2 linked regions of the Arabidopsis thaliana genome follow. The protein of the gene in region 1 interacts with the protein of each later gene in a pairwise test. Each region holds a gene or a part of one and is shown on either strand. Other genes may lie near its edges.

Region 1 (5,939 bases):
TGTTGTTGTTGCGTCGCCGCCACCGCCGCCGTAGCTGTAATCGAACTGTTTGATCTTCCGTAAAGCATTTTAAACCGTTGATCCGATTCGAAATCCGACTTTACCGACGACGACGACGGATTGTTCTTGATCGGACCTTGTCCTTGTCCCTGACCTTGTGCCGCCGTACACGGCGTACAATGCCGGTAAGCTCCTGATGCTTTCAGAGCCATATCTTTGAGCTGATATTGAATTGACGAAAATACCCTCAATCAGAAGAGAGAATTACGAAAATTGGAGACGGAGGAGAAGAGTGAGTTTATTTCAATTTACCTGAGATGTTAGAGATTTGGCGTTTTTAGAATCTGGATCGTCTGGTTGACCGGAGGATTCATCGCCTGCTCGCTTCGAACGAGCTATACACGTCAGCATTTTCCGGTGACTGGCTTGGTCTTTGATTTGAGATTTTTTTTCTTTCTCTTTTTGGATACGGAGAGAGAGAGACAGAGATGGTGTCAGTTTCTTCTACTTTGGTTTGGGTTCGGTGCTCTTTTTATGTTTTATTCTCTCTTTTTTTTTATAATTTCTGCTTAAGAAACTTTAAACCGGGATTACCGGTTTCCAATAAAGGTTCCGCGTCTCACTACGGTAATTACGCAATCCGGTGGTTAAAATTTCGAAAGTGAAAAAAGTAAAAAGTTTTGGTCTTGCATAAGGTAAGGTAAATCATTTTTGTTTGTTTACTGATTAGCTAAACTTGTACAGAGGTTAGACTATATACATGATTTTTGGCCTGTGGATTTAGACTTTCAGAGGTATCAAAGGTCGTTCTTCACACTCAAGTAGCCAAGTGTGCTGCAAGATTTGAAGTTAATCGATATGTATGCAAAATTTGACTCTGACTTTTGAGAAACCTAAAACGAAATAATTTATTATGTGTGGTTCTAAGCTAGATCACAATAATAAAAAGTTGTTCTTAGCATTATTCATTAAATGGGTACTGTAGTGTGTTGTTCATAACGCTTCTGATGGCAACTCATTGACATTTAATTTAAGGATAGCAATATGTTCCGTCCGACAATATTTATGTATGTGACGTCTTCGTCTACATTACATTTCAAGTGAATAATGATCCAACGACTCGAAAATATTAATAGTGTAAGTATTTTTGTTGTTGTTGTTGTTGTTGTAAATTTGGTAATGTACTAAACTGAAAATTAAAATGTTTTGGCAAAGGGTGGTGGTCCAAGACTTGTTTAGTTTACAAACAACTCTTCAGTATTTTTCTTTTTTTTCGACCAGCCACTATGGTCTTGTTATCGTTGAGTGTCAATATAACCTTTCTGAAACATTACACTAGGGTCACTAAGATAAATTGGTCTCTTCTCCACTTTTATTATTTCATATACAAATTTGTATGTACCAAGATCTTATCCACAAAATTTCGTTTTTCCCAAAACTATTATAATATTATTAAAGAGGTCAAAATGGTTTGTGCTTGTTTACAATATATTTAAGTTTTTTTTTGCTAAGTTTCTTACAACATTTCAAAATGCATGACAATGATTTTACTTAACTCATTTAAGCAAATAACTTCGCGATACAAACAAAAATCAAGTTACTATTATATAAAAATCAAGATAGAAACTGTAGAATAATCTATATAATTGTTGAGTACAAACTTTACAACTTAGCCGAACTATTGATTAGAGTTCATCGGGAAATGTCATATTTGAGTATTGTTGGTGGACTCGCAAATGAACAATTTAGACCACCAAATAGAGCTACATTTTCTTATGGTGAAGACTCAAAATCGGTTTGGGTTTAGCGCATAGATGGGCTTTAGTTTCGGCCCAGTGAAACTCTGTCTCAATCCTTCTCACCTGTAAACTTAAAAAAAGAAACGAAGAAGCTCTTTTTCTCCCCTCTGAAGAAGAAAAGCAAAATCCACGAGAGAAACAGATAGAAAGTTGCAAAAGTGCGTTCGATTTTTGCTTCTTCTTCTGTTTCGGATTCGGATTTGGATTTGGAATCTGCTCCTTTAGCAGAACCAGAGGAAATGGTGACGTACGTGAGCGCGTTGTTCTACGGATTCGGAGGGATAGTCGTCGCCGGAGTGGCGCTGCTCGTGGCTTTCCAGGAGAAGCTTGTGTACGTCCCAGTGCTTCCGGGTTTAAGCAAGTCTTATCCGATCACTCCCGCTAGGCTCAATCTCATCTACGAAGATATTTGGCTTCAATCATCCGATGGTGTACGTCTCCACGCTTGGTTCATCAAGATGTTCCCTGAATGTCGAGGTCCACACTCTCTTTGATCATTGAGTCTCCTTTCGATTCAGTTTTTTTTTCCTGGTAGATTTGATTTTACATTTTCGAATAAGCTTTTGAATCTACTGAATTTTGAGGGATTTTAGGTCTTGATGTCTCTGTCTTTAGCTAGGTTTTGGATTCCTTTTCTCAGATTTGTGATCCCTAAGTCATTTTAGCTTTAGTTTGGAACTTATCTGTCACCTAAAATCTAGTTGCTTGTGGTTGGTAGCTTTAGCCTAATTCGAAGTCTTTCTAATAGTTTATGTTTGGCATGCAGGTCCAACCATTTTATTTTTCCAGGAGAACGCTGGAAGTATCCTTTCCAGAGCCATTTCTTGGTTTTTGTTTGTTTATATTTGTATGCTCTAAGGAACCTATTTTATGTTCCATGTCTGTTAGCTGGGATACTTTGTCTTGTTACGACCTTGACCTTAGAATCCCAGACATCGCTCATCGTCTGGAGATGGTTCGCATCATGATACAAAAATTGAAGTGCAATGTATTCATGCTTTCATATCGCGGGTTAGTTTCAGTTTGCTGGTTTCTGGTCTATCTCTTATATAAATTGTTTGTTTTTGAGTCTAAACCTTGGATCTGTTTATACAATGCTTATTGATTTTCCCGTGCAACCAGCTATGGGGCAAGTGAAGGCTATCCTTCACAACAAGGTATCATAAAAGATGCTCAGGTTTGCTTGTCTCCCTAAATTTATCCACATATCTCTTCTGTTGCGTCTCCATGTATTCATTATCCATTTTCTTGCCTGATATTTTTTGTTAGGCTGCATTGGATCACCTTTCTGGAAGGACTGACATTGATACATCTAGAATAGTTGTATTTGGAAGGTCCCTTGGGGGAGCTGTTGGAGCTGTGCTTACCAAAAACAATCCAGATAAGGTACTATTAGTACATATTGCTATTGGTAGCATTTCATGAGTAGGGAAAATGTATATTTTATTAGAAGAGAGACAGTATAGGCCAAGTACCAGCCGCCAGCTCTGTGGATGTTACTGTTTAAAGGGAGAAGTATTATTGAGAGTCCCACATGGTTACGAATGAGACTAACAAATGCCTTATAAATTATAACGCCTAAGGGCACCTTCCTCTCTCCTCTAGGGGCTTGGTTTGGATGGCTTCTTATCAGTATATTAATGAGATTCTGGTTACTGTTGCAAATTATTATAACTCATGGTCTTTGGCAGATGACCTGGAGTCCAATTGTATAAAAATTTCTAGAGTACCTCTTTATTTAGATTCTAGTCACTTATCATCAGTAACAATCTACGCGGTTTGTACTATCTGAATATAATTATTTTTTGTGTTAAAGTTTTAGTCATCTGGCAATAAAAGAACCTGGTTGATAGGGGTATTCGTTTGAGCTTTGTTATAGGCCTCCTTTTATCACCCCCACTGATATTTACTATTATATGCACAAGAACCTTATCCTTCTCAGAAAATTTCTTGGTAAATGAAATTTGTAGATGCCTTGATTAAGCTATTATTTTTGTTCTTGTTGTCTCTACTTCCAGTATTTCATTTGATATCCACACGCCTTATAGTTGTATGTTTACCATTTCTCAATGTCGCTATATAGGTATCTGCATTGATTCTGGAAAATACTTTCACATCCATTCTTGATATGGCTGGCGTTTTGCTGCCGTTCTTGAAGTGGTTTATTGGAGGAAGTGGTACGAAAAGCCTGAAGCTTCTTAATTTTGTTGTACGTTCTCCCTGGAAAACAATTGATGCTATTGCTGAGGTAAGATGCAAATGTAGACTCTTGCAGATAGATGTTAGATGGATTCTTTTCGTTTACTGTTTGCATATGCCATAAAATGACTCATTTAAGCAAAAAACACTATGGTACCCCAATGACCTCACTGGCATATATATTAATATATCTCATGCATTTGCATTCCTTCATTTCCTTTTAACGGGACATAGTGTATATATCTTTGCGGAATATGTTGAATTCATGATAAGCTAACCCGAACTATAAAATTATTCATGTATGCCGCAAGCTGATTGATTGCTCCCTGATTTGTTCTATGGAGTAAAACTTGAAAGGAAACAAGAAAGGAGCTTGATGTGCTGCTAAAAACATATCCCTGTTAAAAAAATGTCTCATCGTTTGATTTTCTGTAGCAACCTGTGATAAACTGATCTTGCAACAATGACAGATCAAACAACCAGTGCTTTTCCTCTCTGGACTGCAAGATGAGATGGTCCCTCCATTTCACATGAAAATGCTGTATGCGAAAGCGGCTGCCCGTAACCCTCAGTGCACATTTGTGGAGTTTCCAAGTGGGATGCATATGGATACATGGCTGTCTGGTGGTGAAGTTTACTGGAAAACAAACTTGCAATTTCTCGAAAAGTATGCGCCTGAGAAAAGGAAAGAAGATACAGGTAAGATGATCTACCAAGTATAAGTAACAATTTTGTTTTACAGAGATGTTTCTTGGGATGTTTTTCCCAAAGTAGAATACTAGGCTTGACGTTGGTCTCTAATCTGATGACAGGAAGGTAACGATCAACGATGCTGTGTTTAGAGGAAGATTCGACTCACTTATTTCCTATTGCAACCTGAAACGACGGTATTGTTTGTTATAAGCATGTGTATACGTATGTTGCATTTGGGAGTGACAGATACAACTTGTTCAGAGAGTGAGATATTGGACAGGAACTTTTGTAAGCAGAACCAGCTAGTGGAGATGGCAAGTGTAAGCTAATCAGATGCATTTGCTTCGTCTCAGTTTTCCTTCTTTTTTTTGGGTTATTTTTTTTCCAATTGTTGTTGGTGTTTCTCATCTGATCGTAACTATTTCCTCTGGATGATCATGGCTTTGTAGATGATTGAGAAAAGTGAAAAAAGACATGGTTATATGATTATATCTTGAATGTGTTGATTACGTCTGTCATTCATAATATTTATGAAATCTGTAGAGTAGTTTTTTTCCCGACAAACTTGATTATGTTTGAAAATGAGATAACACCAAACTAAACGCACGAAGACATTATTAATGTCCATTATTTATGTATTTTTATTTTTAAATAAGTGTTGTGACTAGACCGGGTCGGTCACTGTCCACGGGGCAACTTTTTAGTCTGCATTAAGTTTTCTTACTTTATCACTTAAGAACAAAAATTCTGCTTTAGAAAAAAAAAAGAAGCAAACCTCACTGTTCTTTCATCGTTTCCGAGAGAGGAGAGACGGACATGGAAGGAGGAACTGCGCACTACAGCCCTCGAACTGTCGAAGAAGTCTTTCGAGATTTTAAGGGCCGTCGAGCTGGCATCATCCAAGCTCTCACCACTGGTCTCTTCTTTCTTCTCTTTGCTTTTTAAAGTTTGAAACTTTTCTTATGGGTTTTGAGTTTTTCGTGGGAATTCTTCTCATGACGATCGTTTGGTGGCTTTATTTAGACCCTTTTTCAACAATTGTGCTCTAGTGTTATGGATTGTGTTGATGATGCTTAGTTCTTCGAATTAAGAACAATTAATTTCTTTTTTTTGCAGATGTGGAAGATTTTTTCCAGCAATGCGACCCTGGTTAGCTTTTTTCTCTCTCTAGCCTTAAGTATGCTCTCAAGCTGTTTCAGTTATTCCTGATTTTGAATATGCAAAGTTGAGATGGTAACATAGGCTTGT
Region 2 (4,713 bases), on another chromosome or scaffold:
AGAAAATTATTATAACTACTTTAAACTTCAAATATTTCGATATCCACTCTCAAAATGGCCAAACAATTAACCTAGATGTTTCCTATTCGCATTATCCTCACAATTCATCGTATAATCTCTACTATGTAAACAACTAGTCTATTGGTGTTTTTTAAAAGAGCAATTAAACGTGTACATTTACCATTGGTTAGGCAATAGCCACTAGAAACTTTGAAATCACATAAAACCAATTTTATTTTTGCGTATATAAAACCCACATAGGTATCTATCAATCTATTGGGTACTAAAAAAGGTCAAAAAGCTGGTACTGGAAAATGCAGAGATGGATCATAAGAATTTCAAAAGGTAAAATGATAATTGGATATGAATTGGCACTTCAAACATTTTCGAATCTTCAGTCTTCTCCCATCGAATTCCGTTTTGACTCTTTTCACAACGCAACGCACGCCGTTCGGCGTTTTCGTACTTCCTATATTTTACCTTGTAGCTCCCTATACTTTCTATTCTAGTTTTATTACTCCACAACAAAATCTGAATTTGGACATCATTTATCATTTATAGATCTTAACTTCTCGTCGTTTTTGTTACATTCTCAAAAATAGCAAGCAGTTCCGTCCGTTACCCAATTACAATTCACAGGCCCACGTTAGACTACTGAGCCCATCCACGCAACATTCCACGCTCATTAAACAAACATGTTTGGATCAAGACTTGGATAAGCTTTTGTTACATGTTCTCTGACTTATTCAGGCAAGTTTTTTCGAAGCTAACGGCCACGCCACCCGGAAACAGACTTGGGGACAAGTGAAATCGAATTTGAGGCAGCTTCTAATCTGCACAATGCCGAAAGTGCAACTGTTTATTTCCACACCACAAATGCAGAAAACAGTAGACTGATTGAGAGAGAAGGATTAGGGAACTACTTTGATATTTCTTCAACAGCCTTCATGACTTCAGCAGAACTAGTTTCCAGTACTTGTCCTCCAAATACAATCTCATCTAACACCGCGTGCATCTGCAATGAAGGAAAGAAAGAAGAAGGCATAAAGCTATATTATTGACACGCTTTTGTTTCATGTAGCTATCTAAAAGATCCAACCAATCTGCAGCAGCAAATTCTGAAAATAATATCAACTACACTGCAGGACAAACTGTTCTGTGTAATAAGATTACCTTGCTGTAGTTGAACACAATGTCGAGTTCGCAGACATTGCTGAAGCATTTGTCCAGTGTTTCAACAAGAACTGCCAATGCAAGAAACTAACTTTAAATCATCATACAATGAGAATACATTTTCAAAGCGTTAAGCAAAAAGAATTTACGAGCAGAGGAATAGACAATGATTCATATGTAACATCAGTCGATGGCATGCTAAGTCAGTCTCTGTATTCACAAAAACGAAGAACTAATTTGATCTAAGAGAATCTCTACTCTCGACTGAACCCAATACCAATCCAAAAATACTCAACACCCAGTTCTCTTTTAAACACATCCTATGCAGACCAGCTGAGCTCGCACACCACTCATATGCATTTGTACTAGATTCACGGCAACAAGCTTTAATAAAAGAGCCAAGACACTGCACAAACTCTACTATTCAAGACTCTGATTCCAAATTCCCTCTTTCTATATATAGTCAAGCTAAACGGTTAAAGATGTTCAAAACAAGCTACATCTATGAAACTTTTCTCATTCCAAAGCACAAAAATTGAAAATGGAAAAAGGTTTTACACCATGCCATTTCAGATTATATTGCAATCTAAGAACCATAGTGATTAAAAACGGACCTTGAATGAGATCAAGCATAGCAAGCTCATTTTCTGAACCATCAAATACAAGAACAAAATAGAGTGTAGCATAATGCTTGTATACAAGCCGCGAGTCCTGCAAACACACTAAATAATAAGTGTCCAAAGCAACGTTTTTTTTTGTTAAACTAAGTATTGTGGTTATATAGCATAAACAATGAAGACGCCATTACCGGTCCAAACAATGATTCGATCTCCAGAAAATTGCTTACGTTCTCAGGTCTACTGCACAATACTGTAAATTATAAACAAAACAAAAAAACAAAATTTCAGCTCAAGTTTCACGATCGACCCAGATCTTAGCGATACAGATTATGAAATTGTTAGGTATCGTAAGATGCAGAAAGTGATTGAGAACCTGAAAACACGCCGCGAATAAGCTCCTGCTGCTTCTCCACAGGCTGAAATCCAAAAAAAACAAAATCAAAAACCCAATTTTACAAAATCGGTCACTTTGATCGAAGAAACCGAAATTGAAAAACATATCTCAACAAGCATCGTACCAAGTAATCGTAGAATTTAGCTAGACGTGGTTTGCCTTGTGTGTTCATCATCATCACTGCCTTAATCATCTTCCACCTCTCCTCTCTTTCTTTCTTCGTCTCTCTCGCTGACAAACTCTGAATCTCACATTTTCAAACCCTCTCTCTATCTTAGAGGCTTCTTCAATTACATTTGATGACGTCATCACCAATAACAACCCTCCACGTGTAACCAAATTTGAGTGCCCTAATAAATAGTAGCGGGGCCGTCGTGAGGATTGGTCACAATCAATGGCTCTCCGAGAAGACGACGACGATGTTAACATCGGAGAAAAAGTAGTCGACGTAGAATCGGAGCTTCAGAAGTACCGGATCAATTCGATCGAATCAACGGTTGTGATTCGTCAGTTACCGACACAAGGCATTGCCTTCAAGCTCTGGATACCTGCAACAACTCTCGTCACGCTTTTAGATAACTACCGTCGTGACCCAAACATTAGTCCTCTCAATCGCACCTTCTCGAGTTTTCAATCCGACGGTTCAGATTCTTCTTCTCCGATTAACATCGTCGAGCTCGGATCTGGAACGGGAATCGTCGGTATCGCAGCGGCTGCGACACTAGGTGCTAATGTCACGGTGACGGATCTCCCAAACGTAATCGAGAATCTCAAATTCAACGCCGACGCAAACGCTCAAGTCGTGGCTAAGTTCGGTGGGAAAGTCCACGTGGCGTCTCTTCGTTGGGGCGAAATCGATGACGTGGAAAGTTTGGGTCAAAACGTTGACTTGATTCTAGCGTCTGACGTGGTTTATCACGTTCATCTTTATGAACCTCTCCTCAAAACGCTGCGTTTTCTGCTCTTAGAAGGATCATCCGAGAGAGTGTTTCTTATGGCTCACCTCAAGAGATGGAAGAAAGAATCGATTTTTTTCAAGAAAGCTCGGAGATTCTTCGATGTTGATGTTATACATTGTGATGATCCTCAAGAAGGTGCTAGAATCGGAGTTGTAGTTTACCGTTTTGCACCGAAAAATCAAAACCTTTAAGAAGATTTTGTCAAATGTTGATAAATGAAATTTGCTTCTTTGTTAAATAAGAAACACTTTATGAGAAACATTTAATTATGTACACTTTATAAATGTTGGAGCTTCGAACCCGTGACCTTGTAAGCAGAGCACTTCTGATTAAAATACAGAGAACGAAGACTGAGGAAAGAGAGAAGAAAATGACTCTGGGACTGATAAACGCGAATCCAGTGGTGCAAGCTAAGAAGGAAGGGCTTGTTCGTAGAGAAGATCAATATAGAGATGATGGTGTTGATCCTCTTGAAATATATGATATCCTTTTTCTATTTTGAGATCAATTTTGTTTTGGATTTTGTTCTTTTTGGGGGGTTTAATGTATATTTTTGGAATCTTTGACGAAAATGGACAAAGTATGTAAGAGATATAAGAGATCCAGAACACCCTTATACTTTGGAGCAGCTAAGGGTTGTCTCTGAAGAATCTGTTACTGTCGATGACAAGCTCGATCGCATCCTGTGAGTTTATATTAAACATCATTCTTTGTTGAATCGATTTTTAGAGACTATCAGAAGAAAGTTCCAATTTTTATCTCTGTATTGGTAACTAATGTTGAGGCCTCTTTTTGTGGTTACTTGCATGATCTTTAACAATAAGCTGGTTTGGGTTATGTGATGAACTCAGGATAACGTTTACACCGACGATTCAGCATTGTAGTATGGCAAATATAATTGGTCTGTGTCTGAGAGCTAAGCTTAAAGAATGTTTGCAACTTCATTACAAGGTCATCTTGCTTTTAAAAAACTCTTTTCTGATTAAGACAAATACTCAAGATCACTTGTTAGTTGTTACATATGTGTGATTGCTTCTGTTTTGTTTTACTTATGTTTAGGTTGATATCAGAGTGTCTCCGGGTTCTCACGCTGATGAAGTTTCAGGTGAGGAAGTCTTATGTTTACTAGACCATCTCTTCGCAATGGTTTAAGTTCATATATGCTTTCTATAAACCTTAACTAATATAGAGATTGCAAATTGAATGGATGATTTGTGTAAATTATAAACATTGCTCTTGTCCTTGGTTTGATAGATTTTAGTTTCTAATTAACATCACTGCAAAATCTGGTTTTCTATATTTGTATTTTTGGGAAAGTTGATGTCTTAAGCTCTGAACTTTAATACTCATTGGGATCATTTTTGTATTGCAGTTAACAAACAACTGAATGATAAAGAAAGAGTGGTGGCTGCATTGGAGAATCCTAATCTCCGTCAGCTCGTGGATGAGTGTATCTACTCCGATGAGATATGATCACATCATTTACTTCTACTCTCTTGTACAGGCTTCATATCATGGGTTTATATAATGCCTTAGAGAGCGCTCTTTAATCTCAGAATACAAATTA

Evidence for each region.
Region 2: the proteins of WAV2 (region 1) and AT3G50860 interact in a protein complementation assay, tested with the Arabidopsis thaliana proteins (one large-scale study listed by BioGRID).

The regions. Positions count from the first base shown.
Region 1 is NC_003076.8:6,942,415-6,948,353, reverse strand, and holds WAV2 (alpha/beta-Hydrolases superfamily protein), read left to right. Parts: upstream 1-1,839; 5' UTR 1,840-2,038; coding exon 2,039-2,276; intron 2,277-2,565; coding exon 2,566-2,601; intron 2,602-2,731; coding exon 2,732-2,810; intron 2,811-2,921; coding exon 2,922-2,976; intron 2,977-3,068; coding exon 3,069-3,185; intron 3,186-3,882; coding exon 3,883-4,047; intron 4,048-4,468; coding exon 4,469-4,697; intron 4,698-4,810; coding exon 4,811-4,818; 3' UTR 4,819-5,399; downstream 5,400-5,939. Other genes in the region: BRXL4 (BREVIS RADIX-like 4), read right to left, coding at 1-221, 313-411; AL5 (alfin-like 5), read left to right, coding at 5,508-5,607, 5,808-5,840. UniProt on the Arabidopsis thaliana protein: Involved in the regulation of root growth. Involved in the suppression of the root bending in response to touch stimuli, gravity and light. Negatively regulates stimulus-induced root bending through inhibition of root tip rotation.
Region 2 is NC_003074.8:18,900,013-18,904,725, reverse strand, and holds AT3G50860 (Clathrin adaptor complex small chain family protein), read right to left. Parts: upstream 2,582-4,713; 5' UTR 2,381-2,581; coding exon 2,312-2,380; intron 2,210-2,311; coding exon 2,167-2,209; intron 2,044-2,166; coding exon 1,982-2,043; intron 1,885-1,981; coding exon 1,788-1,884; intron 1,245-1,787; coding exon 1,174-1,244; intron 1,016-1,173; coding exon 924-1,015; coding exon of another isoform or gene 920-923; exon of another isoform or gene 834-919; coding exon 767-833; 3' UTR 529-766; downstream 1-528. Other genes in the region: AT3G50850 (Putative methyltransferase family protein), read left to right, coding at 2,582-3,337; AT3G50845 (MIP18 family protein (DUF59)), read left to right, coding at 3,517-3,630, 3,728-3,831, 3,998-4,097, 4,206-4,251, 4,519-4,619. UniProt on the Arabidopsis thaliana protein: Part of the AP-3 complex, an adaptor-related complex which seems to be clathrin-associated. The complex is associated with the Golgi region as well as more peripheral structures.